Linked DNA regions of Drosophila melanogaster. The protein of the gene in region 3 interacts with the protein of the main gene of each other region in a pairwise test. Each region holds a gene or a part of one and is shown on either strand. Other genes may lie near its edges. The genes, in order: CG1638, Prat2 and Tbcc.

Region 1 (10,469 bases), on a different chromosome or scaffold from region 3:
CTACCTGAAGGGCGGTATCCTGCGTTACTCCAAGGCCCAGGTAAATATCGCCGGAAACAGTGGGGAAATGGCCTCTGGCCCGAGTGACGCCTCCGCCCGATGAGAAGGCGCAGCAGCGTGGCTTACTTGTGGTTCTCCGATTCCAAGGGATCCGATACTTGCTCATCTATCCGCGGGATGGACCACACACCATCCACCCACTTTGAGTTAGTTTTACTTGAAAACTCAGTATTCGTCAGTGCGGTTCCTGAATCCAAATGCATTTATTTTAATTCCCGTGTGTTCAAGTGGCTATGAGTACAAACCATGCATACTTTGCCTAAATTGTTTACTCTTCTCACAAATAAGTTCAATAATCCTCAATGCCCTTGCTTGTGACTGTGCAACAAGTGGAGCGTATTAGTGATACACGTAAACAAAATAACCCCCTAGTTCAAAGGCTTGTGGATCAAGGATCAAGCTAACCACTTTTCCAACCTATTTCAGATGTACAAGCGTCGTGCTCTGTACCGCCTGAAGGACAAGAAGAGCCCCGTCGTGGAGAAGGCCAAGGTGCCCATCAAGAAGGTGAAGAAGATCGGAGGACCCAAGAACGGCGGTGAGCGCACGGTCTTCCTGAAGAAGAGCAAGGCCTCCTACCCGACCAAGACGTTCGTGAAGAAGCGCCCCTCCAAGGCAAACTTCAGCGAGCACAAACGCAACACGCGCCGCAACCTGACCCCCGGAACCGTGCTCATCCTGCTGGCCGGACGCCACCAGGGCAAGCGCGTCGTCCTGTTGAAGGTCTTGGCCTCCGGACTCCTGCTGGTCACCGGACCCTTCGCCCTCAACTCGTGCCCGCTGCGTCGCGTGTCCCAGCGCTACGTGATCGGCACCTCCTCGAAGGTGGATCTCGGTGCCTTCAAGGTGCCCGAGCACCTGAACGACGCCTACTTCCGCCGTCTGAAGGCTAAGAAGGACAAGAAGACCGGCGAGGCCGACATCTTCGCGGCCAAGAAGGAGCGCTTCGTGCCCAACGAGCAGCGCAAGAAGGACCAGAAGGAGGTGGACGCCGCCCTGCTGAAGGTCATCAAGGCCCATCCCGAGGGCAAGTTCTTCGCCAAGTACTTGCAGAACATGTTTGCCCTGCACTCCTCCCAATACCCCCACCGCATGCGATTCTAAGCGAGGGGATGGATTTGGTTCTTCAGTTTAAGGATTTCTAAAGCAAAAACACTGTACAAGCGCGCCCGCTGGTTAGACTAACAGGATTTGTAAAATAAACCTTACAAAACGGAAAGTTTTGGCCTTTTCATCAAAGAACCCCAGCTGTGACGATTAGTTCATTTTCTAAAATCCAATAATTGCACACAAGCATCAATTTAAATTCCTTTCTACAATTTTATTTCATTGATATATCCTATAAATTATAAAATAACAGCTATAAAGTTAAAATTCCATCAGATTAACATATTTGGATCAACTACAACTTCGATTTACATTAGCGCTAATTCTAAGTGCTGATATGATTTGAGCTCTCTTTGGCCACTTCGATAGGATCGGGGTACTCCGGCTGCAAGTGCAGAGCGCCCAGGAGTTTCCGCCTACCGTGGACGTACCACAACATCTCTCGGTAGGATCGCGGGAGGACTTCGTCCAGCACCTTGTCCGCCCGATAGGTCAAGTAGAAGACATTGGTGGTCTGCACTTTGCCGCTCTTGGCATCCCAAATCTGGGCCACGGTCATCAGCTGGACGTAGTTCTGGGCGGCGTAAACAACGTGGGCGGTGAGCTGGAGGAACCGATCCACATGCACCGGGTGCATGAAACTAATGTCCGAGATGCACCTGAGGGTGGGCCGATCGCCCAGATAGATGCTAGCCATTATGAAGCTGATTTCAACGGCCTGGCGCATGAGATAGCCCCCAAAGATGGTGTTCTGCGCATTCCTGTTCTCCGGAAATGGAGCAATCATCGTAGACTGCATAGAGTCCTCCATCCAGCGGCATTTCGGCGGCAGCACACGCTTGTTGAGATCCATACTATTGGCTGGGGTGGTTCTCTTGAGGATCTCGTACATGAGGGCCTGTTCGTGCTCCCTGGGCGGCGAGTTGAACACTGAGTCCATGGCAGAAGACTTGCGCACTTTTTGCCGCTTCTCTGCCTGCTCCCAAATGAGCTTCTCGGTTTCATCGCCAACCTCTATAGGATTAATGGGAGCCGGTCCCGTATTGGTGGCATTTCTGGCCACCATGACGAAGATTGCTTTTGTTACATCAATATATTCGCCGTGGGCCAACTGCCTCACATAGATGGTAATCTCCATGGAGCTCCGCCCCGCCCACGAGATGTGACCACTGATCTCGATGTCCTGGTTGACCTGCAACCGCTCCAGGTTGGTGAACTCCACTTTGTCGACCAGCAACGTGACAAAGGTGTAAGGCAAAGGCACTCCCTTCGGCAGCTTGGGCAGCTTCACATGACGATGGCAGATCCATACGGCAAACATGTCCAACTCCTCCATAATTCGGCCCAATCTCACCCTTCCCAGGTGATTCACGTAGCTCTCGCGGATTAGCTCACTGGAGCTCAGGGGCAGAATGGCCGTGGTGTGCGAATCCAGCATAGTTCTTGGTGGAAGCTCCTCCCTCTTCGGCTCGTGCTGCAGGAGATGATCTCGGGGCTTGGGAATCGTATGGTATCCCACGTCCACGCCGGATTGCTCGCGAATGACACGAGCCACTAGGGGTAAAGAGGTGTCAGAAAGGTTTTCCGAAGCGAACATAGACTCTGACTTACCCTCCACCATCGTTCCAGAGCGATGATCGGACTTCACCTTGGGTCCGTTGTCTAGCGTATAGCTCCTGGGCATCTGCTGGCTCGCCAAAGGGGGGGGACTTGTGGCCAGCAGTCGCCTTCGCCGGGCAGTCGACCAAGAGCTCCTCCTCGCCAGCGCCGTTCCAAAACTCCGTGCCAAGGTACACAGCATCGTTTCCAGGTGTCTAGGTTGACGGGGCCTTGGAAATTGCAACTAGTTGAACCGCCTACTGGGGGGATCCAATGGCATGGATTTTTTGGGGAAATCACTTGCAGGGCACTTGGGTGTAGTTCCCAGCTCCTAATACGTAATACGCCTCAGCTCGTTCGGATTTACATGAAGTGCTTTCACTTGGGCTGCAAAATAGAGAGTGATTCTAGAACCGAGTGGAGCGTTGGCAAATGTTCCGCGTTGTGCGATTACATGGCTCTCCGGCGACTGAGAACCCGCGCATGACGATCACCTGTCCGCTTGGTGAGAGATCTTCTGCCTGCACTGCAAGAAATAGCGTAGGTTCTCGAGCGGATTTGTATATTTTGATCTTTTGGGAATTAAATCTTTTGAAAATATGTTAGATTATTTGATGCTAGAATGATGTGATCCCATAATATTGTACTGACTATGTGTTTGAATATATTCCGTCTCTAGCACAGAAACATCTTATTTTTCAGTGCATCTACTCAAGCTTGCAATCTAATCTGAAATGAGGTGTAAAGATGATGTTTTCGAAAAGTGCCAGACTAGCGAAGAAGATGGAAAGTTTTACATTCAATTTTCGGTCTGATTAGACAGCAAAACATTACCGAAAATATAATGTTTTCTATGAATCAATTGTGGACCCAATCTAATCTGCGGAGTGGGAGTAGGGCTCACCACCAATCACGTGCGTGCCCAGAACATTGGCAGTGGTCATGATCTTCACGCAACTGGGTATTCGAAATAAAAGCCAGGGCCAACGGCCAACTATACGCTTTCTGCTTTCGATAAGGAATTTGAATAGTTACTCGATTTAATAGGCATCATATAGATTTTTGGATCAGGAAATATCACCTGGCACAGTTTGGTTAACATATTTTACAAGATTTGCTCAAACTAATCCAGTCTTTGTGTACATTAGCTATAAGAAATACTGACTACGTGAATTTAAACTGAGCGGGAATTTTTTTTGAGGCTTAGCTTCTGCTGGCAATGAACTTGCGGCGACCATGGATGTACCACATGGTTTCGTGGTAGGAGCGAGGCAGCACCTCAGTAACCGCGTCTGGAGCGGAGAAGGTATAGTGAAACGTGTTAGTGGTCACGTGGTTCCCCGTGTACGCGTCCAGGACTTCGGCAACAGTCATGATCTGCAGGTAGTTCTCCTGGGTGTACACCACATACGCGGTCATCTTGATAAAGCTGTTCACGCTGACCGGCTTCTGGAAGCTAATGTCCGATATGTGCTCCAGCGTGGGTCTGGCCTTGCAGTAGAGGAACGCTGTTGCCCAGCTAATTTCCAGGGCACTGCGCATGAGGAATCCCCCGAAGACAGTGTTGTTTTGGTTCCTGTGCTCCGGGAATGAGGGAATAGTGCTCATCTGGAAGGAGTCGTGCATCCAAATGCAGTTGGGAGGCAGGAGGCGGCGCGGACCGGTTTGCTCGTTGGGAGTAGTCCTTTTGTAGAGTTTGTAGATGAGAGATTGTTCCTCGGCGTTGGGTTCCACCTTGAAGACGGACTGAGCGATGAGTAGCTGTCGTTGCTTCTTCCTGTCGGTCCCGCCAGCTAGGATGCGCTTCTCCTCCTCGTTGGCAGGCTGAATGGGATTCACTGGAGCCGCAGCTGTGTTGGTGGCATTTCTCGCCGCCATCAGAAACAGAGCTCGCGTGATTTTCTGATACTCCTCATTGACAATCTGCTCCAGCCATACCACCACCTCCATGGAACTGGTTCCCACCCAGGACACGTGGCCAGACAGACGGATGTCTTGGGTGCCCTGGGGTGAGACACTGGTGAAGTCGATCCGGTCCACCAGGACCGTCACGAGGGAGTACGGCAAGGGTACTCCCTCTGGCAGATTGGGCACTTTCAGGTGCCTATTACAGCACCAAGCTACGAAGAATTAAGCAGACAATTATTCAACAACATGGCTTTGGCCAAACTAGATGGTACCGGCGAAGATGTCCATGTCCTCCAGAAGCCTGCCAAGGCGCGCGAAGCCTCTAAAGTTGATATACTTGTCCTGCAGAACTGCATTCGTGCTCAGAGGAATGATGGCCGAACAAAACGAGTCCTGCATAGATCGCGCAGGTAAGTCCTCAAACTTGGGTTGGTACTTGAGTAGATCCTCCCTGGACTTCGGCTCCGTGGTGAACCCAGGCTCCAGGCCGAAGCTTTTCAGCATCTTCTTCTTGACTAAAAGGGATATCTGGACAAGTAGCACCTATTTCTGGAATGGAAGTACTTACTCTCCGTCATAGTGGCGTATTGACCGTCCGCAGAGGAGTTACGCCCATTAGAGCTAGAAGAAATGTGGCCTATAAAATCTGATTTCTGCTAGTTGTGTTGGTGCTTCACCTGGAATTTTTATGTGTCATCTTCCTGAGGGTCCTGGCCTTTAACAAGCTCCGGCAGCTGCGGGCTCCGAGCAAAAAAGGTACAACACATAATTTAACATTTCTAAGACCAGGCCCCATGGAAACGGATCGGGATCGAGATCTGAACTCAGATCCGACACGAAATTAAAACTATAAATTTTGCTTCAGCTCTGCTTTTTTGATTACAGGTAATGGGTATCCAAAAAATGTAAAGTCGGCAAAAATTAGGGATTATTTTGACAGTTATTATATTAATAAACATTTAATCTAGTACTCTTCGATAGGGTTTAATAGAAGATTTTAAAAGTTTTAAGCTGGTTGGTTAAGCACATCATTAAACAACAGACATTTATTGCTTTTTGTAAACACTGAACTGGTAATTGCATTTATCTGGTAGGATAGCCTTGCATAATATCTTGAGTAACAATCACAGGCTGAACCATGTCTACACTGGGCCCATGCTGGCCTCGAACTTTCGACGACCTTGGATGTACCACATGGTTTCGTGGTAGGAGCGGGGCAGCACCTCGGTAACCGTGTCCGGAGACGAGAAGGTGTAGTAGAACGTGTTGGTGGTCACCTGGCTGCCCGTTTGTGGGTCCATCACATCTGCAACGGTCATGATCTGCACGTAGTTCTCCTTGGTGTACACCACATAGGCGGTCATCTTGATGAAGCTGTTCACGCTGACGGGCTTCTCGAAGCTGATGTCGGATATGTGCTCCAGCTTGGGTCGCGTTTTGCAGTAGAGGTAGGCTGCTGCCCAGCTTATCTCCAGGGCACTTCGCATGAGGAAGCCTCCGAAGACCCGGTTGTGGTGGTTCCTGTGCTCCGGAAATGAGGGAATAGTGCTCATCTGGAAAGAGTCCTCCATCCAGCGACAGTTTGGTGGCAGGATGCGCTTGTTGAGTTCCAAAGTGTTGGTGGGAGTTGTCCTTTTGTACAGCTCGTACATAATTGTCTGCTCCGGGTCATTGGGTTCCACCTTAAAGATGGACTGAGCACAGAGAATCTGACGTTTCTTCTTTCTATCTGCGCCGCCAGCCAGAATCACTTTCTCTTCCTCGTTGGCCGGCTGTAAGGGGTTCACAGGAGCCGCTCCGGTATTGTTAGCGTTTCTTGCTGCCATCAGGAACAAGGCACGGGTTAACTTTTGGTACCTCCCGCCAACCATCTGTTCCAGCCACACTACCACCTCAATTGAACTGGTTCCCACCCAGGAAACGTGCCCAGACAAACGGATATCTTGGGTGCCTGAAGCCAAGACATTGGTGAAATCGATGCGGTCCACCAGAATGGTCACAAAGGTGTACGGCAGATGAACTCCCTCCGGCAGATTGGGCAGAACCAGGTGTTTATGACAGCACCAAGCTGGAAATAGCGGATAGTGAGAAAGTGCGCCAAGATTCCAGCAAATGTGTTCCTCATACCAGCAAACAAGTCCATGTCCTCCAGAAGTCGCCCGAATCGCACATTGCCCAGATAGGTCACATATTTGTCCTGCAAACTGCGGTCCGTGCTCAGAGGAATGATGGCCGAGGTGAAGGAATCCTGCATAGCTCTTGGAGGCAGATCCTCCAGCTTCGGCTGGTACTTGAGCAGCTGCTCCCTGGATTTGGGCAGCGGGTTGTAACCGGGCTCCAGCCCCAATCGCTTCATCATCCCCTGCTTGACTGCAGACGTTCGGGGATTACGATGGGTTTGACTCTGGCAAGACAACACTTACCCTCCGCCATGGTTCCGGATTCATTGGCGACCGCTGATTGCTTGATATGCGTGGGCGGTGAGTAGTGACGCCTGTTAGAGATGAAAGTACTCATTTACCATGTAAGCTCATCATTTATTTTTTGCTCTTACTTGAACAATGCGAAGGATGCTGGCACCTGTTTGGTGGGTAATTCCATAAAGTTCCTGGTGCGGATCAGGCCCCAGCACTTTTGTGCTCCTATCAAAGAACGCATCATCTCGGTTTAACTTAGTTTCGCAGCTTTCTCCTTGCTTTTCAAGTTACATACAAAGTGTAACCTGTCTTTGATCTAACCCCAAATAGAAAACAGCTGGCGGCCACAGCTGACTGGTACAGTGGGCTCGAGAAAATTCGTCTCCAACTAATTTCGAAAAGTTCGATTCTTTAGTATATTAATTTTTTCCCATTTACTTTAATTAAATTGATTTGAGACTGACTGTTCTTTACACAACAAAGTCTTCATTTAAAAAAAATCCTAATATATCTCATTATTTTCAGTATTCCATCAACTTGAGCCCACTGTTTACAGAAGTGATACATACGTATGACGTCATCCCGATTGTTGTTAATTTTAAACTGGGAAGCGAAGTTCCCTAGACAATTTCTCAAATTAACACATTGTTTTGTGATGCATAAATTATGAAATTAAGAGATTGTACTGTTTGAATATTGACTAATTGCTACTGTATATAAAATAACATATTAAAATTAAAATAGAAAATAGTCATCGTTTGTATAAACTATATTTGCAGGTATAAAACCTTGATATTTACAAAAGTATCTTGACCCGAACGCACTTAACGCAGATATTCGACCAATAAAACAAAAAATTATGGGAATAGTAAAATCCAAATCTCTACGCTTACAGATTTAGTTCCTTGAGCGCAAAGTTCAGCACCACCGGCAAAATACCAGCATCTTCCAGATCCAAGATCTGTTGCCGAAGGTTCTCCACCGGATGGGAATGTATCATCTGCAAGAAGAGTTAGAGTGACAATAGAGCATTTCGTTAAAGTGCGCGGTTCGAGCATACCTTTTTGATCTTTTGGCGTTGCTCGCTGCTCTGGCAGAAGCTGAGTAGAGAGGCGGCCATGTGCGGTCGATGGACGACGATGCAGAGCTGGGCGAACTGTAGCAGGTTGAGGGCGTGCACCACCGGACAGCCCTGCAGGCGCAGCAGCGTCTTGTGGAGCACCTCTTCCTGCTTAAAGGATCGTAGCTCGACTGCGTTCTGCAGAGGATGGCAGAGCACATAGTCCCAGGCCTGGGCCAGTCCATCCAGGTGAAGTAGATGCGGCCGGCAGCTGAGTACATCCAACAAGGCGTTCAGCTCGCGCACCATATGGAACATGACCATGCGCTTCAGAATGCCGTTCCAGATCTGCGGCAAGTGTATATCAAAGCCCAGGCAAATGTTGGCCATGACTTCCAGCGAAAGGGGATTCTGCGCATTACGCTGCCAGATCATCTTCAGAATGTCAATCTTGTTGCAATGGTCGTCGGAGAACTTCTCCAGGTTCGACTTGTAGCCCAGAGCCTTGAGCTCGTGCACACACTTGATGCTGATGAACTGGCGTTGGCTAATCGTGTTGGTAAAGGAGTTGCTGCCATCGTTTAGCTTGGAATAGCACTCGTACATTTGCAGCTGTGTGGAGGTGTTTACCGAACTGGTGGAAGGGTTTATTCAATGAATTATTTTCGCTAACTTTTAAGTACCAATCCTTACCCGCCCTTGAAGATCAGACCCACAAGGAACTTGACTGCCTCCGCCTTTGGCCAACTGGAAAGTATGTAAAACGCTCTATTTACGTTCTCGCTGGCGTCCTGGCTGTTGGAGGACTCTGCGCCGTTGGCCTGCTCCGGCCAGTTCTGCTCCTCCATGAAGGTCTCCTCCAAAATGGTACCATCACCCGCAGACTCCATAGTCAGAGCGAGCCACTTCTGTAGCAGGCGGTACTGGATGGTGGCTAAGCAGAGGTCGTGCAGCTTGGCTATCTCTGCGACCAGAGCGTTAATATCCACTTTGCTGGACTTGAGGATCAGCTCATGGTGGTAGAGCGCCTGAATAAGCTCGGTGGGGTTCTCAACTTGGCGCAGTAGCTTCTCATCGGTCAGGCCATAGACATACAGCAGGTGCTGGGTCTTCTGAATAGGATACCGTCGCTTCACCTTGGCAACCTGCTCGCGACTCTTTGGATCTGTAATCAGGTGGCCCTTCTCCTTGACAAACTTCCAGCACTCGTAGGAGGCCTCCACCTGATCGGCTCCATCACGAGCATAGTTGGACACGAAGTACAGTATTAGAAATGCCTTGTTTGGGTTGTTCACCTTCTCGACCAGTCGTAGTATTGACTGCAGGAAGGCATTATTCGTGGGATGAAGACTCCATGATTCCGAATCATTTTTCGACTTGTACTCCGATATCGAATTCTTTACTGCTGACATGCAGAAGTAGTCACAGTTCTGGGAACTATCCTTGGATCCCTTCAAAGCCGTGTACATCTGAATCAGTGGAAACCAGCTTTGGCAGTTGTCCACGTTTAGTTCGCTGTCTGAATAGAAGAAGCGGAAACTATAATTAAACAGAAGCATTAAGCATTAAACTATTTCAGTTGAATATACCAAGAATATCCTTAAGAGGTTGCTCTACGATGGGCTTAAAAGGCAGACGATATCGAGATATCTTCGGCATAACGCCATTTTCCCTTTGTGATTTCAGCCACGTGTCGGTTTCCACCTGACCTGGCCGATTGCGTCTTCTGGTGATCATCTTGTGTCTCAGGAAGTGCAAAATGTTCATCCAGATTTCCATTTCCTTCGGAGCCGAATCGAAGTACATTAGGATGTTGATCACACACATGTACAACTCGTAGAAGTAAATGTTGATCTAAACGATTTGCAAAGATATTAAAAAAAAGATTATTTGTGGCATCAGTGAGCTTACGTCTTCAATAAAGTGTTTTAACTTGGAAGTAAAGAGCTCGACATTATTGATTTCATTAATGTACGGTTGGCACATATCGCGCATTTCCTGGGCGCTGCTTAGCATAACCAGTTCCTCGTCGCCGAAGGTATCCCTCTTCACCTCGAAGCGCAACTCCTGGGCGCTCAATATGCTTAGTATCTGGGTAATAAGAATCTTTTGGTAGTCGAACCCAAAGTCCTTGCTCATGCGTTCCAAAAGCTGAACGTCAAGTTGCTTATTGTGAAACTCCTTAAGCAGGTCCTCTATGTTGTCCATGTCGGCATTGAACTTGCCCTTTATTCTATGATCCTGTTGGCAAAACTCCAGGTAATAGAAGAGTTTCAATCTCCTGCAAACCAATAAAACGAAGTTTAACATCTAGACTT
Region 2 (11,615 bases), on a different chromosome or scaffold from region 3:
GAATGCGTTTTGCATACATTAACCCACTGTTGCCCACTGTGTGCCCACTGTATGCCCGGGGGTGACTCTGACTAGTAACGGTCAGCAGTTGACCAAAGGCTAGTGGAAAATGTGTTTATTAAATTTTATGATTATTGGCCGGCAATTGAGCAGCTCGCCTTGGGAATGTGTCGCCATTCTCCCCTTTTATTATATATTTTTTTTATTTCCATTCCCATTTCGATTGTGAAAATTGAAATTTTATGCGCACAAGTGGCAAGTTCCTTTAGCGAGAAATGGCCTGAAATTCTCACGCGTAACTGGAGCAGTTTTTGGTGGCTCTGTTTTCGCTTACACTTTGTGTTGGTAATTCAATTTACGTTTTCGAAATGCTAATTAACCCGTCCGAGAAAGAGAAGGTCTCTTCTCGCGTTTATTTCTGGGTGTTACACATGTTTTGGGAACTGCCTAATGTGCCACAAATTGAATGTCATTAAGATTTTACAACGGAACCCACTGTAAACACGTTGCGACCCCCTTTGACAGACATCAATCAGTGGCTCATTACGAATGCACAAGTTGGCTTTAAGAAAGCGCCAACAAAGCCACATGGATTTTTGGTCTAGTTCTTAAAGATGAGGTATTCGACCAGGGAAAACTAATTAAAGAAATATTGGTTGGACGACGATGGGCGTGAAGGCGGCGGTACACATCGCTGGACAATTTGGAACGCTCCTCAAATTGGCAACTAAGTAAACTTGAAAGCTGCTGGAGCTGGTCCATCATCCAGTCGGGTCTACACGCCCACTTTTTTCATGGGGGACTACTATTTGTTGTTGTGACTGCTTCGTTATGCAAATTCATGATGGAGGAGAAAAGAAAAACCATCGCGAAAACAAAAGACAGAAATGAAAATTGTGTGCTATATGGTAAATATATATATATATATAAAGCAAATGCAAATTGTATATAAAGAAATGCCAGAAAAGACAAATAACAGGATGGAACGGCAGAACAACAAATTTTAAACGACGGATTTCTTTAGCTTTCCAACTCTGTGTTTTCTCCCCGCTTCTTTGGAATAAATAATAAACGTAAACGAATTAAAAACGCTGGACGAAAAACGATGGGGAAGGGTCCTCGAACCGAAGCTGTCCTTTCGATATTTTTGTGGCTTCTGGTTTTGGTTTTGGCATGGAGAGTAATCATCAAAGTTCTTCTGAGACTCTGGTTTCTGTTTACTTAAACCAAGTTTATGCGGCTTTCAATTAGTTTTAATTGAAATTTCCATTGGCCAAGGAAAAGCAATTGGACTGTGCGTTTAATTAAAGTTTTACCAGCCATGCTGATTGCGATTGACTTGACAAGAGTTAAGATAAAGGCATTCAGGTTGATTAAAAGTATTTAGAAAGCTAGTATATTAAAGATATTAATATCTATATAGTAATATGTAGAACTTAGAATTTAAAAAAATGGCTTGATTTATATTTGCAAGGTTTCTAAACCCGTTGCAACTTTTGCGCAATATCTGGCTAGAATAATTGCCCACTTGAATGCCAGCATTAGGAGAACATTTTATTCAATTGCGGCTGGCGGGGAAAAACAAATAAAATTTATTTTCCCCCTTTTTTTGGTGGTCACTTCTTCGGGAGAGAGCATAAAATAAAATGAAATGATGCGTTGAAAGCAAACCGAGAGCCCTTGGCTACTTTCCTCTACCAAAAAAAAAAAAAAAAGTGGGCGGCGCCAATCCATGTGTGGTTGCCCAAAAGGATAGGATGATTCGTATTCCGGTGATTCGCGATGGAGTGGTGGAATGGAATGGGGATGGTATGGTATATGGTATAACGTTTTTGGCTCAATAGATATGTGGCCATGGGGTCCGGGGCCATTTGATGATTTTTGCGTCACCGTTGGTCAAAATCATTTCGAGCGCAAGCAACTGGAAACTGTATAAAAATAATGAAAAAGGAGGGCAGGGGAACGCAGCGTGGCAACGAAAGCAACTTGAAATAAATGGTCAAAAGAAATAAACAGTCCCATAAAGAATAATCATTCAGAATTCTGCTGAATTATGCATGAGGCAGACGGTCCGTGGTTCATGGTCCACAATCCATGGTCCATCGTCCAGGAGCTGCAAACTGGACGCCACTCCACGAGGCGAAGGAGCAGCAGTCCAAGGAGCAGCAGGGGGTGTGGCACTCACATATGCGAAAAGTCCCTCCTGGAAACGCGAACCCAACCCAACCCAAGCCAACCCAACCCACTTGCTGAAGCATCATTTTCCTCTTTATTATCTGTTTGCTTAGCTGTGAGTGTGTGCTGGATTTTTATCAGACTTCTAAGCAGTTAGCTGCCTACACAGTAAGAATTAAAAGCCTAAAACATAAGTTAGAAATTAAAAACAAAATTTTAAACTTAAAATAGGGCTGTAATACTACTAATAAGAAAATATACAAATACACAAACTCTTCTCTGAAATTATAAGCCTTATTTTTATAAATTTCTTTATTTATTATTAATTATTATTATTTTTTTTTTTGTTTTATTTATAGGGAAATAACTATTGACTATTTCTTAAGCAACCATTTCTGTCAGTGCATTAGCCGGCTTCCACTTCTATTTTTCCGGTAAGGTGGAGCTTTGGAGGAGGTTTCCCGCGGAGCAATTCGGCCTGCTCGGTGGCGCTTGGCCAAAAGTCAACCAACATTCGCATAATTTTCGATAAAGCTTTTCGCCAAATGAAATTCAAGTGGTTACACATGTCTCACTGCCACCCAACCCAAACCCAAACCCATCGCAGCGATTTTCGCTTGGTCATTTTTCTTGGACACCCCTCCCCAAACAGCATATAGTATTTCGGTTCTTCCAAAAAGTCAGGCTCATTTCCACATTATATGCCGCATCTGATTATCTGCGCTTTGCTGTTTGTTTGCTTAGTTTTTGTTTATTTCGTTTGTTTGCTTGATTGTTTGTTGTTTTGGCCGAAAAATGCTGATAATAAAAGGTAATGATGGGGGGCTACCTATATATGGGTTATCTCTTTGTTAAAGGGCGACTATGAATCGACGGATTTGGAAATGGAAACTTTAAGTTTTGATAGAGCAATTGTCATGGGGATGCTAATGGAGATTGCGAAGGGATTACGCGTATTTTGATTAGGAAAGTGGCAATAATTGTTGGTTGGAAGAATGGCATACTCTTTTATTTACTATTTGCCAATTTGGAGTATAATGATTATAGTAAATAGACAAATTATTCAAACACAAAGCGATAGTACTTTCATTCAAAGTAGCTTATCCAGATATTGGAATAGTTATTTCAAATAAATTTTTGAATTTTTAATTCAACACAACTCTATTATATTTTTTGTTTATTTAAACAACTTATTCTAGCGATTAAAAATGTCCCGTTCTCGCCGACCTTATACAACACGTTCATAAATACGGCGGTGTTTTGTCTGGACCCCTCAGTTCTGCTTAGCACCTATTCGAAGTGAATCGGTTTTGTTGGGGAGGGCGAGAGACCCACTTTAACAGGTAGACAACACGACTTAACCACAGCAGGCTTATGCCTGCGGTCGCTTCGATTGCATCAGATGAGGTGCGAATCCCAATCGGAAGCTAAATTAGTGCTAAAAAAAAAATAATAATTAAATTGAAAATCAGTTGATCAGCGATCACATGGCTTTGGGTTTTCTAGCCTATAAACAAGTGGCCTGCATGTAATATATATCAACTGGTGGCTATAATTAGCACAAGTGATTAGTTGGCGACTGAAGTTGAATTTGTTTATTGTTTACGATCCCTCATTTAATCGTGCGATCGAGAGCGGATCGATCAACCCTCGCCGATTGTGCTCTACTGGGGGGCTTGGAATTTAGCGTACATTCGCGATAGCACAGCCCATTTAAGCTGCAAAAGGAAAACATAATTTAATCTGTTATTGTTTACGCCGAAATGGAAAACACTTCTAAAATGCGTCATTGAACGCATTTTCCCGATAAGCAACAAAGTGTCAACATGAAAGTTGGATGGATTATGTAAAAGCTTAGGCAAGACAAGAAGATTTTTCGCTGACTCTGTCTCCAAGGGGGGCCCTTAAATATAAATTATTAAACTTTGAACTTGAAATGCATGTGCTAGCGCATCGAGCTGATAAGGAAATCGATGTCGGACTCGTTTAAAAAGGCGCATATGATTTGCTGATTTGAGATCAATGCCAAAGTGAGATGCGTGATTTTGAAGACTAGACAGACATAATGCGGTCATTGAATCGGAATGATGTTGATCAAAGCCAAAACGTGAGAAAGGAATCACAGTGTTTATTTTTGGTATAACTGGCATAAATCGGCGGCGGTATCAAATTTTGTGCCCGACATGCGTTTCTCGATGCGGTTGTGGAACCACCGGAATCTTCCCGATCCCGCTCCGCCCGCCGAGATTGCATTCCCAGCTCAACTGATAACCACGACGAGTATATCAGCTACCAGCCATATATGTACGATGATCGGAGGTTTAATTAGGCGCGGCTGTAACATGAACATTCATAATTCCGCTGGCATTCAATCAATGCAGACGTGAACAATTCCAGTAGTGACCGAGTGTTCGACTTAGCCAGCGATCTCGTGCAAAGTGTACAGTGTCTCAATCGTAGTCAATACCAATTCTCAACCAAGAAAATCGATACTCAAAACATACGTAGAAATAGAAGTTACTAAAATCCAAGCATATGATGGCGCAAAGTGATTCTGGAAATTGCTGTGCCAAGCTTAATAAAGGTAAGAATTCATAAATATTTAATAGTGATTGTGCACAGTTAAATCTGCAATCTGCAACAGATGAGTGCTGCCAGAAGACAAAGGATGTGATCTTGAGCGGCGTATCTCCCAAAATGTTTCCCGACAAAATCTACAAGTCTGTTCAACCCAAAGGAGAGGATGCCACCGGAATGACCTGCGAATGCGGTGTTTTTGCAGCCATCGCTTGCGGGGATTACCCAACACAAGTAAGAACAAAATATTTTTTTTTTTAATGTAATATGTAATATAGGACAGATAGGACATATAGTATAGAAAAACACAAAGGTAAAAATTTGGGTTTAAGAAAAAATGTTTAAAGCAAAATTAAACTTAAATATAATACTTGGAAAATTCCGGAAAAATATGTGTAGCAGATTACAATCAATTGTTAATATATAATAAATATTACTAGGACATAGTAGATAGCCACCATGAAATGCCGATCATAACTATATCAATATCTCGAAGTCATTGGGGCTGTCACAAGCCCATCATCACCCGTTTAGCAAGATCCTATGGACGACCATGTAGTACGTCAGACGTATGCCAATCAATGGTTAGTGGGTCAATGGTTAGCCCCGTTCAGATACACCCCCTGCTGATCTTCTAACGATGTCCATCTATCTGTGGCCAATGCCCAGTGGCTGCGGTGACGTCAGTGAGATCGAACTGAATCGCATGGATTTGGTTTGCCGTGCGGTTGTAATCTCTGTTGTTCATGTTTTTATTGCTCGACTGTAATGAAATGGAAAATAACAGAAAGTACTGGTGTATTCACGGTCGGAAATCGGCATACAGTTATCTGTTTTGCTAGTCAACTGATTGGAATTAGCATTACTAAACTATCTTATATGTTGGGCTAGGTATGCAGAAAAAAAAGTATTAAGTTGCTTTGATCTGATGTGATTTGATTCAAGAAAATGCTGAATAACTAAGCTTAAAATAACAATTCTTAATACTGAGTTTGGAAAATGATACGCCATATCGATGCACAGCACCCCCTGGTCTTTATTATTCAATATTCACGTTTATTATTATATTGTAAAAAAAATAAGGAAAATAAAGTACTAAATGGGATTTTTCTGCTTTCAGCTGGACATAGCACAGATGATCTGCCTCGGTCTGGTGGCTCTGCAGCATCGTGGCCAGGAGTCGGCGGGAATAGTGACCAGTTTGGGCAAGTCCTCCAAGAATTTCAGCGTACACAAGGGCATGGGCATGATCAACAATCTGTTCAATGACGAGGCGATCAGGAAGTTAAAGGGTAACCTGGGAATAGGACACACCCGGTATTCCACGGCCGCAGCCTCGGAAGTTGTGAACTGCCAGCCGTTTGTGGTGCACACTGCCCATGGAGCACTGGCCATTGCCCACAATGGTGAGCTAGTGAACTGCGAGTCCCTGAGGAGGGAGGTCCTGGAGCGAGGAGTGGGCCTGTCTACGCACAGTGACAGTGAACTTATTGCCCAATCCCTGTGCTGTGCACCAGAGGATGTGTCGGAGCACGATGGACCCAATTGGCCGGCCAGAATTCGCCATTTCATGACCCTGGCTCCACTCTCCTACTCCCTGGTCGTGATGCACAAGGATAAGATCTACGCTGTCCGCGATTCCTATGGCAATAGACCGCTGTGCTTGGGAAAAATCGTGCCCGTTGATGCAGGACATGCGAATATCAATGACCAACTGGCCGAGGGTTGGGTGGTCAGTAGTGAAAGCTGCGGATTCCTCTCCATCGGAGCCAGATATGTTCGCGAGGTGGAGCCCGGTGAGATCATCGAGCTGTCACGAAATGGTTATAGAACCGTGGATATCGTTGAAAGACCGGACTATAAGCGCATGGCATTCTGCATCTTTGAGTACGTCTACTTTGCCCGCAGTGATTCCATGTTCGAGGGTCAGATGGTTTACTCAGCCCGCCTGCAATGTGGTCGCCAGTTGGCCAGGGAATCGCCATTAGATGCGGATTTGGTCAGCTCGGTTCCGGAATCGGGCACAGCAGCTGCCCATGGTTATGCCAGGGAGTCGGGACTGCCATTCGGGGAAGTTCTCTGCAAGAATCGCTATGTGGGCCGCACGTTCATCCAACCCTCGACGAGATTGCGACAGTTGGGCGTGGCCAAAAAGTTTGGTGCCCTGGCTCAAAATGTCGAGGGCAAGCGGATCGTGCTAGTCGATGACTCCATAGTGAGGGGAAATACCATTGGACCGATTATCAAACTCCTGCGAGATGCCGGCGCCACCGAGGTGCACATTCGCATTGCCAGTCCTCCGCTGCAATATCCCTGCTACATGGGTATCAATATACCCACTCGTGAGGAGCTAATAGCCAACAAATTGAATGCGGATCAGCTGGCGGATCACGTGGGTGCGGATAGTCTGGCCTATTTGAGTGTGGAGGGTCTGGTCAAGGCCGTCCAGATGAACAAGGCCCATGTGAATCCACTCAAAGCTGGCTACTGCACCGCTTGCCTAACGGGCGAGTATCCTGGCGGATTGCCGGAGGAGCTCAGCTGGTAGAATCTCTCAGCAATTATTAATTTCATAGGATTAAGGTAGTTCTTAGCTTCAGCTTGTATATAAATAAATATATTTAAAATTTCGGGTCTTTGACCTATCACAAAAAATGTTGTTTTTAATTAAGCAATATAGAGGTTTTTGTTTCGAGATAAGGAATAATAAGTAGGACATATATTTGAACGCTTCAAACATTCTGGAAAATAACAAACACAAGCAGTTACATATATTATATATAAAATACATATATATATTAAAATATCTTAAAGAAGACATAATTTTAACATTTTTTTGTTACCACCTTTAACTTATTTACTAGTTATAACCATTTAAAATTTTTTTATTTATTTCCTCACTTTATTTGACTTTCTCGCAGGCAAGGAACACATACTCTAAATGCTAATGGGCCACATCAACGTCTGATTATTTTCAAAACTGTCTAATGCCATAACTTCAATTCATTTCAATTTATATTTCCAAGCTCTGTGTGCCGAGGGATTCAGGGGCAGTGGAGGAAGTAGAGTCGCCCGCTTCCGGTTATAGCCGCGCTCAGATATAGCCCCATATCATACAATATGGTAATCGTGTTTGCTTTTTTCGCCCCGTCTCTTTCCGGCTATGTCCTGCCGCCCACCCACATCCTTGTGTTCCGCTCTCTTTCTTGCGGAGTCTCCCCAGTTGGGGCGTTGCAATGTCTAAAGCGGGGCGTTAAGGGCGTTTAATCCTGCGGAAGATGTCCTTGCGGTTATGCAGAGGGGTATCCGTATCCTCTCTCATCGTATACAACTTTTTTCTTTCTTTCTTTCTTTTATGACTCGCGCCGGGTACTGGAGTCAACAATGTCATCATTATTCTTGAATATTGTGTTGTATTTTCGCAAACAATTTCGCTAAGCTGCGCGGCATTGGCAAAGCCGGAATGGGGGTGGGGGTGAAAAATTTGGGGGTGGGAATGGGTCTGGGTGGGAAAGTGGGAGTGGGTTTCCCTACGCTGAAGTGTGGCGAGGACATAAGAGAAGAAAATAATACTGCACTGTCATTGTAACTCGCTTGATTAATTCTTGTGAAGGGTATATACTGCAAGCAGTTCAGGTTTTGGCAAATGAAATGTAACAACATTTATATTTATTTAAAAAACAAAGACAATGAAATGTTATAAAAACATTTAAATTCTTCATGAAAACATAATTTATTTCACACACTAATAAAGTAAATTATTAATTTTTTTTAAGAAGTTAAAAGTTATATAAGATATGAAAAAAATCAAAGTCGCTTTATAATTTCAAAATTTTCCAAAAGCTGTAGAGGAATTTCTGGGTCCTGTCAGCTTCCCTTTTACGGCGGATCCCCATCACCACTCCATCTGAGTTCTCACCAAGTGGCTACATAAAAGAAACGACTCCTGGCAACATTGAAAACAGACGCTGGCACTTCTATCCAACACACCAGCGTCGTTTGCTGCCACAAGGATACGACAGAAGGACCAAGATATCCACGGAAAAAAAATGGCATAGAGAGGCGAGAGCGTTTGCTTATGTGCGCCGTCGATCACAAACACAAACATCCTGTGCCCACTGCCGCAGACAGTGACAACTAAGCAGTGCCATATTGCCAGGAGCCCAGATGAAGAACCCCCATTGGAAAATCCGCCCTGGAAAGGCCCCACCTCTGCGCCGCAAAACATGCTTTAAATTTTTTAATAACGCCAGGCTACAAGAGCGCTGACGCCCACGTCCGGACTTGGGATCCGGATCCGGTTTTCGTGCCCGATGACGACAGCCGGCCCCGCCCACTTCGGCCTGCCCGCCCACCGTCGTCATTTGCACAGAAGTTATGTAAATTAATGTTTACTTAAGTTCCCCATGTTATTTCTCCTTCGCATTTCTTTTTTTTCGCCTTGCACTTTCAGAATGTTTCCTACTTCAAAAACAAAAGCAGACAGCGGGTCGGAAAATTGTGAGGGGGATTTTAAAAGATGGCAGAGAGGTAGAAAAAAAAAATTGCAATAAATTTGGCAGCCGTTTTTGCAATTTAATAAAAAGCTTTCGCAAGCGGAAGGAGAAAAGTCAGCTCTAGTATAAACAATCAAGCTTATTATTGAGTCAAATGGCTGAGTAAATATATGAGCCGAAATTATGGCAATCGCATGCAAATGAAACGGCCGTAGATGAGGATTATGAAGCCATTATCCAAACACTTGATGGAAATTGTCGCCGCTGAAAATTTAATTTAAACATCAACGCCGGGGGCATCGAAGGCATATCCTTCTGCCACTTGACACATGCAACAAGTTAGTGGCAGGGGCCAAAAGCCACACGAACCGTCGAAAGGCAAAGAAAAGGACTCCTTTGCCAGCTCGATGTCCTTTGCAATAGGCACGCAAAACGTGCCCGGCATGCAAGACATGCGATGGCCAAAACGACATCGTATAAAATGTAATTTTCTGGCCAATAGAGCACTTTGTGGGCTGCCAGGATATCAAGGGCTACAGCCAGAACATCCTTTCTCCAGTTCATTAGCAAATCAAACTTCCGTCTTCTTGGCCTCAAGACATTTCTGGCATGTGTCCGACGCAAAAAGGCACGAAATTCCTGTCCACTGAAATTTGCATTCCTCGAAACCCCTGATGCCAAGGACTAGAAAACTCCTTGTCAACTGGTAATTTGATTTAAGGACTTTGGCTTGACCAAAACAACAGAAAAAGGTAAGTGGTCAGCTGGGATTCGCAACATATTGTCTGGTATTTATTTAAACTATAATGTTAAGCATTTAAATAAATTAAACAAATTTATGGAAACATGCTTATAACTAAAATTACTGAAATGACTAAAAATTATGAACAATAAAAAATAGATAATTAACTTTTCATATTGTGTACAAGTTTTAAGATTAAAATCTATTTAATCAACATTTTTAAATCTAAGCTACGAAAAGGTCACCTGCTTTTCCACATAAAAACCAAATCAGAGCGAATTTAATGTCCTCTTTAAGCATTTTCCCAGCTAATTTTCTATTCCCAAAATGGAATCTAATCAAATGTCCGCCCCACAATTTCCGCCCAGCATTAGCTTCAAACGGAATTTGCATAATATTTTTAGAAGCAACTGAATAAAGTTTTGCTGGGCGAACCAACCAGACGACTCAACACAGTATTTCCACAACTTTGCGTTAATTTTCTAAATATTTTCTAAAATTTTCAAATTGCATTTGGATCAGCCACGCTGGCTTTGGATGGAAAATGGAGATGCCGCAGGGCAATCCCAAGAAGTCAGTTTTTCCGTGCTCCAGCTCATTCAGCATACCAAATACCCCCCCCCCCCCACTTGAATTTTATAATTTAAAATTATGAACTAATATAATTTAATTTTTGTGGCTTGCACGCAGAGAGCTGCGACGATGGAAAACCGGGGATGTGGGTGGGGATTTTCTGTGCGGACACAGGTAGGAAATTAAGTGCATTATACCTTTATATATATATTTGTATGTGTGTATAATGTTGGTTATTGTGCACAACAGCAAATACAACAAAAGCGCGTTGAGGTAATAAATATGTATGAAGTTGGTGTTTGTGCACCAAAGAATGCAATTTCCCTCGAAATATAAGTGGGGTGGGTTCGAAAAGTGGGCGGTGGGGGGCCTTCGCTTGACATCGCGTGCTTTGGGGCGATTTTCCCGCTGCATTGGCCAATTCTGAAGAGCTAGCAAAGATAATAACGATAATTAAGGCAAGCGGCAAACCAAATCTCTGATTTGAGTGACATGCAACAACAACATAATTCACAGCCAGTGCGTCAAAGTGTGTGTGTGCGCGGCAGGTGTGTGTCTGTGTGTGTGTGACTGCTGTTCCAGAATGGCGACTCCATTTTGGGGGCTGTTACACTTCCGGCCATCATTGTCACAGTGTGCGGCAATGCATGATGAAAGCTGGCTGAGATTCGAATGCACATTCAGAAATGACAGGTCAAATTGAAAACATCATCTATATGATATTTAACCATAAGGGTTCGAAACTCCCTAACTGTAAGTGAAAAGTGTCTCTATATATAGGAGCGTATTTCTCGCTTATCAGTTTGAGATTTAATTCCTTAATTACAAAGTGCCTAATTGAAGCTTTACACCTGTTTTCCCTCTCTGCATGGAATGTTCAATTGGCTGGATGGATTTTCCTGCTGATTGTTGTGGAGTAGGCAGGTAATACTTATTTTTTTTTTATTATGATTCTCCGCAGTTGCTGCTGTTGTGATGTGGGGGCATCAAGTGAACAACTGGGCGAATGCATCTGTTGTGCTTCCCATTGCGTGTAAGTTCATTATGTTGGC
Region 3 (10,466 bases):
CATTTTCTCTTCTTAGCTGTTTTTTAAAAGAAGCCAATACTGTATTCGCTGGACCTTTTATTTTATTTCGCATAATACCAAGAGCTTGGTAAAATGTTGAACTTCCCTCGTAATCTTTGAAAACTTTAAAAGCGACATGAGCCGCTTTTCTCCACGACACATATGTTTCACTTTTGCCATCAAAATCTGGCAGAGATTTAATTATATCTAGAGGCTCGCTACAGACAACACCTGGTCTAATTTCAGCATCTACATAAGTTTCCACCTCTGGGGTGTTCACTGTTAATTTCCCGATTCGCTCATTCATCTCCTGCAATTGCTTTTCAAATGATTGTTTTTGGACTGCGAGCGCACCGGCAACAGCACTCTCTACGATCGCTTTTAACTGAGCTTCAAATTCCATTTCGCTAGTTGTCTTTGTTTTTGACCACCAATTATCTGATGACCTATTATTTTTTTCTGCACTGTTTTGCCTACTTGCCTGGTGCGCTGACCATTTATTTAAGCTTGACACTAGGTTGTCCAAAAGGTTATCACTGTCACTCATGTATTTTTATTATCAATACTCTTTGCATAGGTTATAATATAATAATAATAATAATATTTCCAATTCGTTCAACAAGCGTTATACTTACAATATAATAATAGTGATTAACAAACAATTTTAAGGTAGATGGTCTTAGTAATTAATATTATACTTTATGTAATCACGAAACTTTTATTTCTTAGGTTAGAGTTAATTAGCCAAAGCCGCTGGTTTTGTCTCCGGATCCTCCTTTTGTTATTTATTTATAATTATTCAGTTATCGTAGGTTTTTATATCCGTTTGGGCGCCAATTATCATTTTAGTAGATTTTCCATATATTTATTAGCGTAAGTTTATTAATTACAATAGGGCTTGCGCGGTCTGCACTTAATGAGACGAATAGTAAGTACGTGGCGATGACCGACGCTTCTAATCTTCCAAAATCGACTAACTTAAGTAAAGCAAGAGTTCTTATCTCTAAAGCTTAACAAGTTACAGTTTCTTATAGGTAAAGCTCGATCTATAGATGGGAAAAGCACTTGAGGCTTACGACTATATTTCGGGTGTTTTGTGATTGTGTTAACTTATACATGGCGTATGAGTGATATTTGGCTGAATTGATCAATCGCTGTTATTCCTACCTAGAAATCACACTTTGGGCCAACACATTAAGGCCGCTTAACTAAATGCGTAAATTAGCATCGTTGGCCACATCAGCTGAGCCATAAAATCCGCACACAAAGGCATTTGCGGATTGCATGTGGGTCACCGTGGGCATAGAGCGAAGGAGCCAGGACGAAGGTAGCGCGGCTCGGTGATTTTGCAGTAATTGAAACCATCAAAGTGTGAGAGAGTCAGGCAATTACAGGCACTGCGATAATATTAATGTGGGGGCGGTCACCGTTGTTGGGTCCTCGGTCTTATCGCAAATGCGGCGAATATTATCTGCGATAATGAGAAAACTAATTGTGAGCTATGCAAATGTGGCACCACCAGATGCACCTGTCCGTATTGTGAGCACACATGCATACTGTATGTGTGTATGTGTGTGTGTGTGTGTGTGTGTGCGGCCGGAATTACCAACACAGTTCAAGTGTGAAAGCAATTAGATTTGATAGTGTATCGGCTTCATTTAAATAAACGGATATTGCAGTCGCTGGCAATCGCCAAAGACGATAAGATAGAAGAAATAATCAGAATCTTCAAGTTTGAAAGACACATTAAAATATTTTATATTTTTAATATAATATATGTTTAGTTTAAGAAGTGATCCTATTTCCCATAGCCTGCCAACATAAAACGCACCATTTGATATTCAAACGTTATTATGTTGAAAATGAAACTAAACCTTGGTAAGACTCGAGTGGAAATTACAGGTGAATAGCAGGTGAGTGCGAATCATGTGCACTTGACATGAACTGACAGCAAATTGATGCAATTTCGTCACATTATCGACAATTCATTTGCAATTAGATTGGAACAATTTCTGTTTGTGTATTGCTTATGGTATTGAAATGGTAAATAAGTTGTTAAAATGTATTGGAAATAATAGATACAGTACATAACATTTCAATACGGGTACATACCTCTTAATCCTTTCATTCGGAATTTTAAAATGATTTATCCATGCCACTTTAAATTATATTTGTATTTTATATCACCACACCATTTAAATTTGATTAAACTTATATCACTCCAATATCACTACACTTAAAAAAATAAATAAAAAAAGCAAAGCAAAAGTCGTTGCTATATTATACACCGTAATTATGTGATTTGTGTATTTATATACTCATTTTCCTTACATTTATTTACTTGTAGCTTACTTGTAGTAAGCTCCCAATATGCACTATTCCTCATCGTGAATTCACATTGAATGAAAGCGAAGTTTAATGAGATATTGAAGATCAACCAAGAGATAAGCCGAAAATCTGCGCACTTTCGCGTTTTTCTTTACTTCACTTGCTGATCTTCCGTTGTTTCGCACTCTGGTATTTGTGCATCTGTTATTCTCCTTGCTTCACACCGTTTTTGTCACTATCCTCAATTGTGACAGCTCATTACCTGCTCTCAATTTGGCTCTCCCCCCTTCCCCCTTCCAATCTAACAGCATCACCGTTACTTGTGTAACTCGCAGTTCAATTACCTCGCTAATACGAGTTGTCTCTTCCGATGATTCCTCCGCCTTCATGAGCTATAGCCACATACATACATATATACCACACATGTACTTATTTGCGGAGATGCATCCCCTTCTTCACCGCTTGTAACTCGAATTCGTTAATTATTTTGACAGTCGGCCATGTTGACAGCCGCAAAAGTCAACGGGATGAGAGAAATGGTGAGTGAATGGGGGAAGAGTAAAATAGCTTAACAGTTAAGAGATGACGAAGAACAGATACTCTAACTTAAAATTGCGTATAAGTTTTGAAGTTGACAGTTCGAAAAAACTAAAATAAACAAAAATAAATTATTAATATCAATTTAGTTTTGCATCAAATCAGAAAACGCAATGAAAAGCATATGTACATACGAATTTGCTTTTCTAAAGTATTTCTTTACTTTTGCATTTTCAGAACAAACCTGATGTGTAAGTGGAGTGACCCGATCAATGTGCAGGCAATGGCTTGAGAGGTTCTGTTGTGGCCACATGAAACTTGCATGAGGCGCCGTCTTCCGCCCATTCCGGAATGTGTGTGGCAGCCACAGCCATTTTGGCCAACCACTGATTATGCCACATCCGAATTGGACATGTCAAATTAGCCACGACATAAACAAGAACAGATACATATGTACATACGCATGTACATATGTACATATGTTATCGAAGAAGTCAAACTTTAACTCACCCACTCCAAAATGATTACTGCTGAGATACTGAAAAAAATTTTGACAATGATTTGGAGTCCCTTAATATACAAGAGACTATTTTTGTTTTTTACATAATGGTTATTTAATCAACACGCTTATAGCTAATTACACAGATCGAGGATTAGATTTTGGGCCTGTAACTGAGGGCCGCAGCAGCATTTCCCAGAGCAGCCAACCGAGGATGATGCCGTAGGCTAGCCAACCGAGGAGCAGCCGCCGATGCCGCCACTAAATGATGGATATGTCCTTGACATCCTGCTTAAGTTCGCTGTTATGGTTATTGGCAATAAAGTCGCGCCTTAAGGCGTTCCAATTCGGATCGGGATAATCCTTGAGGAGGCTCCAGTTCGGCGAGGGGACATCCGGCGAAAGCCAGTTAAAATCGGCCACATCCGTATAGTTGTTCTGTGCCTTATTCAGTCCAGAAGCTAGGTAGTCGGCCTCCAGTTTGGAATAATCGTAGTTGTACTCTCCGATCTCAATACTCTTGCAATCCTCGATTATTGCGCGGCAGGTGACATGCATGTATATGCGAATGGACCGGGAGGAGTGCAACCTCAACTGCTGGCAGGCAATGGAGAGGGTGCAATCCTCGAGATTCTCGGCGAAGAAGGAGCGTGCGATGGGGCCGCATAGCAGCGTGCATTTGGAGGCCCTGGAAACCTGCACAGAACCGGGATGACCCTGCAGTTCAACCAAACAGTGGTTCAGTTTCGATATTGTGATGTCCTGGCCATTGACTTTAGCGGAATCCAGGACTATATGCTCGTTCGTTCGATTGGCAATCGTCCACGTGAAATTGGAGCCTAGTTTTTCTGGGACTTTACTGAGTTTCGCGTCGACTATATCCTTATTTGGAGGGACTTTTGGCTTTGTGACGGTCTTTTTGCCACTGAAACCAAACTTTTTCTTGGGCAACAGGCGCTGGCGGGTTTCATCACTGACGGCGGTCAGGGTGTTAAGGATATTCTGACAGGATTTGATCTTGAAGTCGGGCAGAAACATGGTGGATGCGGTGAGATATCGCTGCAGATCCTGGATCTCCACAGTTATGTCGGCGAAGTTTCTGGCCAAATCGGTTGGCTGGCCATCGCCGCACTGCACATCCTTTAATCGCTGCTCTATATCCATGGTTTTTTGGCTGAAAGTCTGGTAGAAGTAGTCAACGCCCTCGTTCTGCACTGTTTCCTTGGAACGCAGCTCCGATTTCACATCCAAATAGTTTTGCCTGTCCTTGTTTCTTTTGTTCAAACGCTCGAGGATTTGATCCTTGCGATTTTCCGCGTCGCCTTCCATGATTTTCGGTATCAATCTATAACGAAATATCTGGTTAAAAATCAATTTCTAGGGCATAACTTCTATTTGGCCGTATGAATCACAGTTGTTGTTGTTTTTCTTGCCAAGTTGCGCAGCTGCAGAGAAATGCATGGAAAACGCGGCTTTCTTACTGGGCACGTATCATATGCGCAGTGATTGTAGTTCAAATTAAGAGAAATTATATTATTTTTATTCTGTTTATTAACCTTTTGTTTAATTTTCTTATTATTTTGTGCAGCTGCTCACAATAACAAATGTTGCCTAATCGTTGTGAGTGTCAACAGTTATGTACTAAAAAAGACCAAACAACATTACCGTTTAATGCGCACGGTGAATGGCAACGGCGGCAAGAAGAAGAATACGCGCCAGGGAAATTTTAGATTTGAATTTTTTATAGGAGAAATGCGATAATATTAATTATGAACTCTTGTAAGCAGCGTAAGAAACTTAATACAATCAAACATCTCGCCGAACACAAAGCACATTGAATGTCGCCCACAGAAGCGATAAATTCTTGATAAATGCAAAAACGGAATTAAATTTAAATTATGGGTCTTATCTTTTTTGCTCTGTAGAACCTTTTACATAAAATGCGGATCAGTACGTTTTATTTCTGCGCTTGCAGTGGTTGTGCGATATCAAAATGTTTAGGCTTGAAAAATGTATTGTGTACTTACTTGTTGCCTGCAATCTGGTTGAATCACGAGCGGAATCCACAGAAAATTCCCGATCCGTGTGCCTTCTGAAAGATCCGCCAAATCAGTGCGGAGAATTCTGCCTTTCGGTGCTCCAACCGCTATTGGATCACATTGTAAAGCACCAGGAGCAATGGAACACCTCCGAGGCCCTCTGGCTGAACGAAACCCAGGGCAAATTGGACAGGATACAGACCCAGCTGGCGGCACAAGCGCTATCCTTGGAGGAATCAGCGCAGAAGGTTCCAGGAGACATCAAGGATAGACTGGACCGAATGGAACATCTTCAGACGACACTGCAGGAGTCTCTAAAGAAAATGCCAGCTGAACTCGATGCGAGGCTAATGAAAATGGAAAATCAGCAAAAGACATTGGGCGACCAGTTGGAAAATCAAATCAATCTCACCAAGGAATCTCAGCAGGATCAGTTGGAAGCCCTAAAGAACGCCATGCCGATAAATTTCGAAATGCGGCTGGCTCAGATTGAAGAACAGCAGAAGTTACTTCAGGAAACTCTAAAGAAGATCCCAGAGGATTTTGAACGGAAATTGCAAAAGTTGGAGCAGAATCAGAAGGATGAGCTGACCAAGCTGGGAGCTCAGCAGTCCGCCAACCAAGTCACACTCAAGGAAATTTATACCAAGGTCTTCTGGCCGAAATTTGAGCGAATCGGCTCTAGACTCTTCTACATAAATCACAAGGATGCCTACGACTGGCAATCCGCTGTAGACTTCTGTCGTGACATGGGTGGCTATATAGCCGCCATCAAGGATCAAGAGGAGCTGGACGCCATTTCAGCGAGACTGGACGACAAGAGCTACTGGCTGGGCATAAACGACTTGCAAAGCAGTAACACCTACGTATCCGTGGCATCCGGCAGGGAAGTTGAATTCCTCAATTGGAATGCGGGCGAACCCAATCACGGCAATGAAGATGAGAACTGTGTGGAGCTGATTAGGAGCAAAATGAACGATGATCCGTGCCACAGAAAGAAGCATGTTATTTGTCAAACCGACAAAGAAGTTTAAATGAAAACACTGTCTTTGCATATTCGAAATAAATAAAAGATACAGATACTAAAAACTATTCCCAAACTGTCGTAGAAAGTTGATTTCTCTTTGCGGCGCTCTTTTACCTTTTAGTTAAATACATAATCGCAGTATGTATGTAGTTATATATAGATAGAGTAGTTATAGTTGTGTGCTTGATGTGTTGTGCCCTACTGCGTGCAAATGTCCTAAAAAGCATTTGTACTTCTAACATTCATCCTTCGTTCGCAACATTTCAACACTTAAGTACTAGAAAAATATTAAAGACATATTTATTCCGTTCCGATATTTGGTTGTAACTTAGTAACTCGATTTGGGTTCGTGATTCCTGTGCATCCTGATTCTAATTCCGCTTCCGCTTCTCGTTTAAGGCACATTACACATTCCTGAATATGATGTGCGTTTTACATAGTAGTAGTAGTAGTAGTAGTAAATATTAGATAAACACGTTAAAACTATTGATTTGAAATTCACTCGCTAAATTGCGTGGGAGTTTGTGCTTCATAGTCAGCGGGAAATCCTCGTGTGACGGAACGAGTTCCAGCTCTACAATGCATATGACCAGCAATTGACTAAAAAAAAAACTAATCCACCACGACCCCAAAATCGAGGCCAACAAATATTGAAAACCAAAGGTAAGTAAATTTCTCGGAAATGTTTTAGCGCATCCTTGCCAGATCCTCCTTATATAGATCATGATAGCTCGCCAATTGGTGCATTCTGAAGCCACAGATCGTGAATGAAGTTGTAGAGATTATCGCTGACAGCCACCTGAAAAAAAGTGAGACATTGGTTAGACCCTTTTCGTAAGCCAAATCAAATGATTACACCCACCTTGTAGGGCGTCGGGTTGAGCGTGCGCTTGTGATCGTTGCGCAACGTTTTCAGCGAGATTTGCACCTTCTCGCGTACCTGCTCCAACGTGGGCAGCTGCTGGCAAATCTTGCCCGACTTCCAATACACCTTGTAGAGCGACTCCACGTGCGAGGGTATCACGTAGGCACGCTTCGACTCCTGGAACGGATGCCGGCACAGTACCTTCTGTCCCACCGCTGGCGGCGGCTCCGATACCTTCTGCAGCAGATCGATGAGCGCGTGACCATCGGCGCTATACAGCCGATAGGCATTCTTGTTGCCCGGCATCGTCACCTTCTCCACGTCCTGGCTCAGTTTGATACGCGGCTGGCCGTTGATCTCAACGAGCTTGTACACACAACCCAGCGCCGGCTGTCGTTGGCAGGTAACTGCAAAATACACAATATTTACAACACATTCAAGATTTCAAATGTACATAAGTACAGCAAACTCACCCAAATGCGTGCCAATGCCAAAGCAATCGATCTTGTGCCCCTGTTCGTTGAGACTCAGAATGGTGTCCTCATTGATGTCGTTGGACGCCACAATGGTCAGCTTGTTGAACCACGGCACCTTGAATCGCTCCGCCACCTTCTCGAACGTTTCGCGTGCCAGGCAGGAAAGATAGGCCAGATCCCCGGAGTCGATTCGAATTCCAAGCGCATGGTAGCCCAGATCGTTGAGGGCCAAGGCCACAGCGCTGAAATTCAGCAAGCCACTCCTGTGGAGAAGAAATCACAAGCATGTGTTTAGAAGTCGCATCTATGGATTCCAACAAGTGCTGCTTGGTTTTTGGTTTTCAATTCAACGTTAAACTCATTTTACTCATTTTGCTATACAATATTTTAAATTTGGTTTTTGGTCACTAGTTTGAAAGCGAGAATTACGCAAATTCAAATGTTTCGAAAGTGAGGTGGAGCTATAAAACGTGTTTCAGAACTCAAATTGGTTCTCTTCGATTTGCAGGTGCGGCTCTTTGTGTTCGAAATTTGAAGCCTGGGAAAATGCCATAATTTTCTCATAAGGGGAGCAGCAGCACAAAAAAGTCGAAGTTATTCGGTTTTGTTTTTCAAGCCATGCAGTGTGCTCTCTCGGACGCTTTTCTTAACTATGTACAGGTCATAAAACCAACGAAAAAAGAAAAAACATTTTTGAAGTTCTCTTTGTTGGTCGTAAATAAAATGTTTCGAAAAATATATGTATGTAACAATACAAAACTGGGGCACAGAAAACAAGAAAATTTAAGTTTAATTTCCTAAAACCAAAATGTTTTCGAACTGAAGACGAGGACAATAAGAACGGGGTTTAGTCTATGACAGCATTAGGGTGAATCAGTGCGTGATTTCGTAGGTTTCTTTTTCATTTATGTGCTTAAAACAATGCAGAAATAAAGCGAACAAGTTTACTTTTTTACGTTTTGTTCAACAAAACTGTTTAGCTTTGTTAATAAACTATTTGGTTATGATCAAGGTTCAGTAGAAAATTGTTTTAATTGCACTTCTCTTGATTGTTTTATGCACCTGGTTATGTGTTTGTGAGCTTAAGGATCGTATATCATTATGCATGAACTTTGGTTTCGTTTGTCGTATTTTTTGCTTTTGAGTAGGTGAATTGTATGCCATATGATATTTTCTCATGTTTTTGTTGGTTGAAGACGTGTGTTTTACATACCTCTGCCAAAATAGTGCCGGAAGTCATTTGTTTACTATGTTAGGTTCGTAAATTCTTTTCATTTGCTTTCGATATTTTATGGTTTTCTGATTCTGATTCGGTTTCGATTATGTTTTCGATTTCTATTTGTTTCACATTCACATTTAGGACGAGAAAAAATAAAAAGCATAATAAACAAAAGTCAGTTAGAAAAAATAATATGAAACGGAAAAATGTATAATGATAATTGAGCGTGTGTTAGTAGAAGAAAGTGATACGAAAAATTACACTGTAGAAAATTGGGCGGGCAACAGGGAGAAAGCAAAGCGATAAATTAAATAAATAAAATAAAATGACTTCACCTGTTCTGGTTGATTTTCATTGTTCGAATCTATTGCCCGGATTAGTTCCCACTCTCGAGGATCTTTGACCAATTTCGTGACACCAAAGCAGAGGACATATACATGGACATATATTATATATATATTAGCTTAGATATATAAACGCATATATGCATATGTATATGAGGTTTGAAATTTTGAATTTTGTATCGAAATTCTAGTTGAATATTTCTCCACGTCGTCATGCAAGGCTTATATTAGTAAAAATCATAGTTCAATAGTAGAGCTAACAAAATGATCCAGGATAGTAACTTCTAAATTAGATTTTTGTTAGTTACATTTGAAATAATGAGCGTAAAGTCTTAAACAAAAAAGCAGAAGAAAATGCTGTTAAAAATGCAGATGTGATTTATGATTAGGATTAGGTTAGAAGGAAATGACAATGGAAAGATAGATTAAGTAAATGCTTTTAAATTCGCCTATTTAATCATTTGATTTTTCTATTACTGATTGGTCTGCTTTCGATAACGACATTTACCTGAATGACTTCTCGACATATTTTGGTAGGTATGCCGTCCCATTGGACACTGTGGTTGTTGTCTTTAAGGTTCCTGTTGCTGTTGCAGTTGTTTTCGTAGTTGTTGTGCTGGTACTAGTATCTTGTATATCTGTATCTTTTGGCGTTCTACTGCCATTATTCTGAGCAGAGCCATTCTGATGACCATTGGTGGTCTTGTGGCCGTTTACGTGGCCAACGCCCTGACCATTTTGATGGCCATTGGTCGAGGGACTTGCCTTTGGCTTTGGCGGACTGTTCTCAGACTTGATATCATTGATATGCTTTGGTTCTGTGTTGGCTTGTTCTGTTTCTCGGCTGTTGGATAATACTTTTGATTATTACTCAAACGAAAGAACGAAATGAAAAGCTCAAGAAATGATTGGGATGAGGCAGGGAAAATTAAAAACTCTTCATTGGCGGAGCCTTGTTAGCTATGTATGTATGTAATAGTTACTCTGGTTTTTGGGTTTTTGTAACTGGCTGGTGCACGTCTCGAGAGTCTCAAATACAATACGAAATATAACAAAGAAATCCATACTCAAAATAAACGAGGGCAAGAAGAGGGTTACCGGGATAGTTATGGGATAATATCACAAACGTAGG

The links.
Region 1: the proteins of Tbcc (region 3) and CG1638 interact in a two-hybrid assay, tested with the Drosophila melanogaster proteins (one large-scale study listed by BioGRID).
Region 2: the proteins of Tbcc (region 3) and Prat2 interact in a two-hybrid assay, tested with the Drosophila melanogaster proteins (one large-scale study listed by BioGRID).

What each region holds. Positions count from the first base shown.
Region 1 is NT_033777.3:31,585,619-31,596,087, reverse strand, and holds CG1638 (uncharacterized protein), read right to left. Parts: upstream 5,508-10,469; 5' UTR 5,471-5,507; coding exon 5,352-5,470; intron 5,296-5,351; coding exon 5,243-5,295; intron 5,190-5,242; coding exon 4,947-5,189; intron 4,887-4,946; coding exon 3,970-4,886; 3' UTR 3,772-3,969; downstream 1-3,771. Other genes in the region: RpL6 (ribosomal protein L6), read left to right, coding at 1-40, 487-1,164; CG1774 (uncharacterized protein), read right to left, coding at 1,493-2,721, 2,779-2,968; CG1635 (uncharacterized protein), read right to left, coding at 5,817-6,742, 6,802-7,044, 7,098-7,168, 7,229-7,335; rod (rough deal), read right to left, coding at 7,981-8,091, 8,152-8,785, 8,845-9,670, 9,741-10,005, 10,063-10,432.
Region 2 is NT_037436.4:6,907,785-6,919,399, reverse strand, and holds Prat2 (phosphoribosylamidotransferase 2), read left to right. Parts: upstream 1-4,523; 5' UTR 4,524-4,710; coding exon 4,711-4,759; intron 4,760-4,819; coding exon 4,820-4,986; intron 4,987-5,435; exon of another isoform or gene 5,436-5,643; intron 5,644-5,872; coding exon 5,873-7,300; 3' UTR 7,301-7,401; downstream 7,402-11,615.
Region 3 is NT_033779.5:4,182,791-4,193,256, forward strand, and holds Tbcc (Tubulin-binding cofactor C), read right to left. Parts: upstream 5,004-10,466; 5' UTR 4,777-5,003; intron 4,710-4,776; 5' UTR 4,694-4,709; coding exon 3,626-4,693; 3' UTR 3,460-3,625; downstream 1-3,459. Other genes in the region: lectin-24Db, read left to right, coding at 5,358-6,437; Naprt (nicotinate phosphoribosyltransferase), read right to left, coding at 7,152-7,229, 7,293-7,702, 7,769-8,034, 9,843-10,178.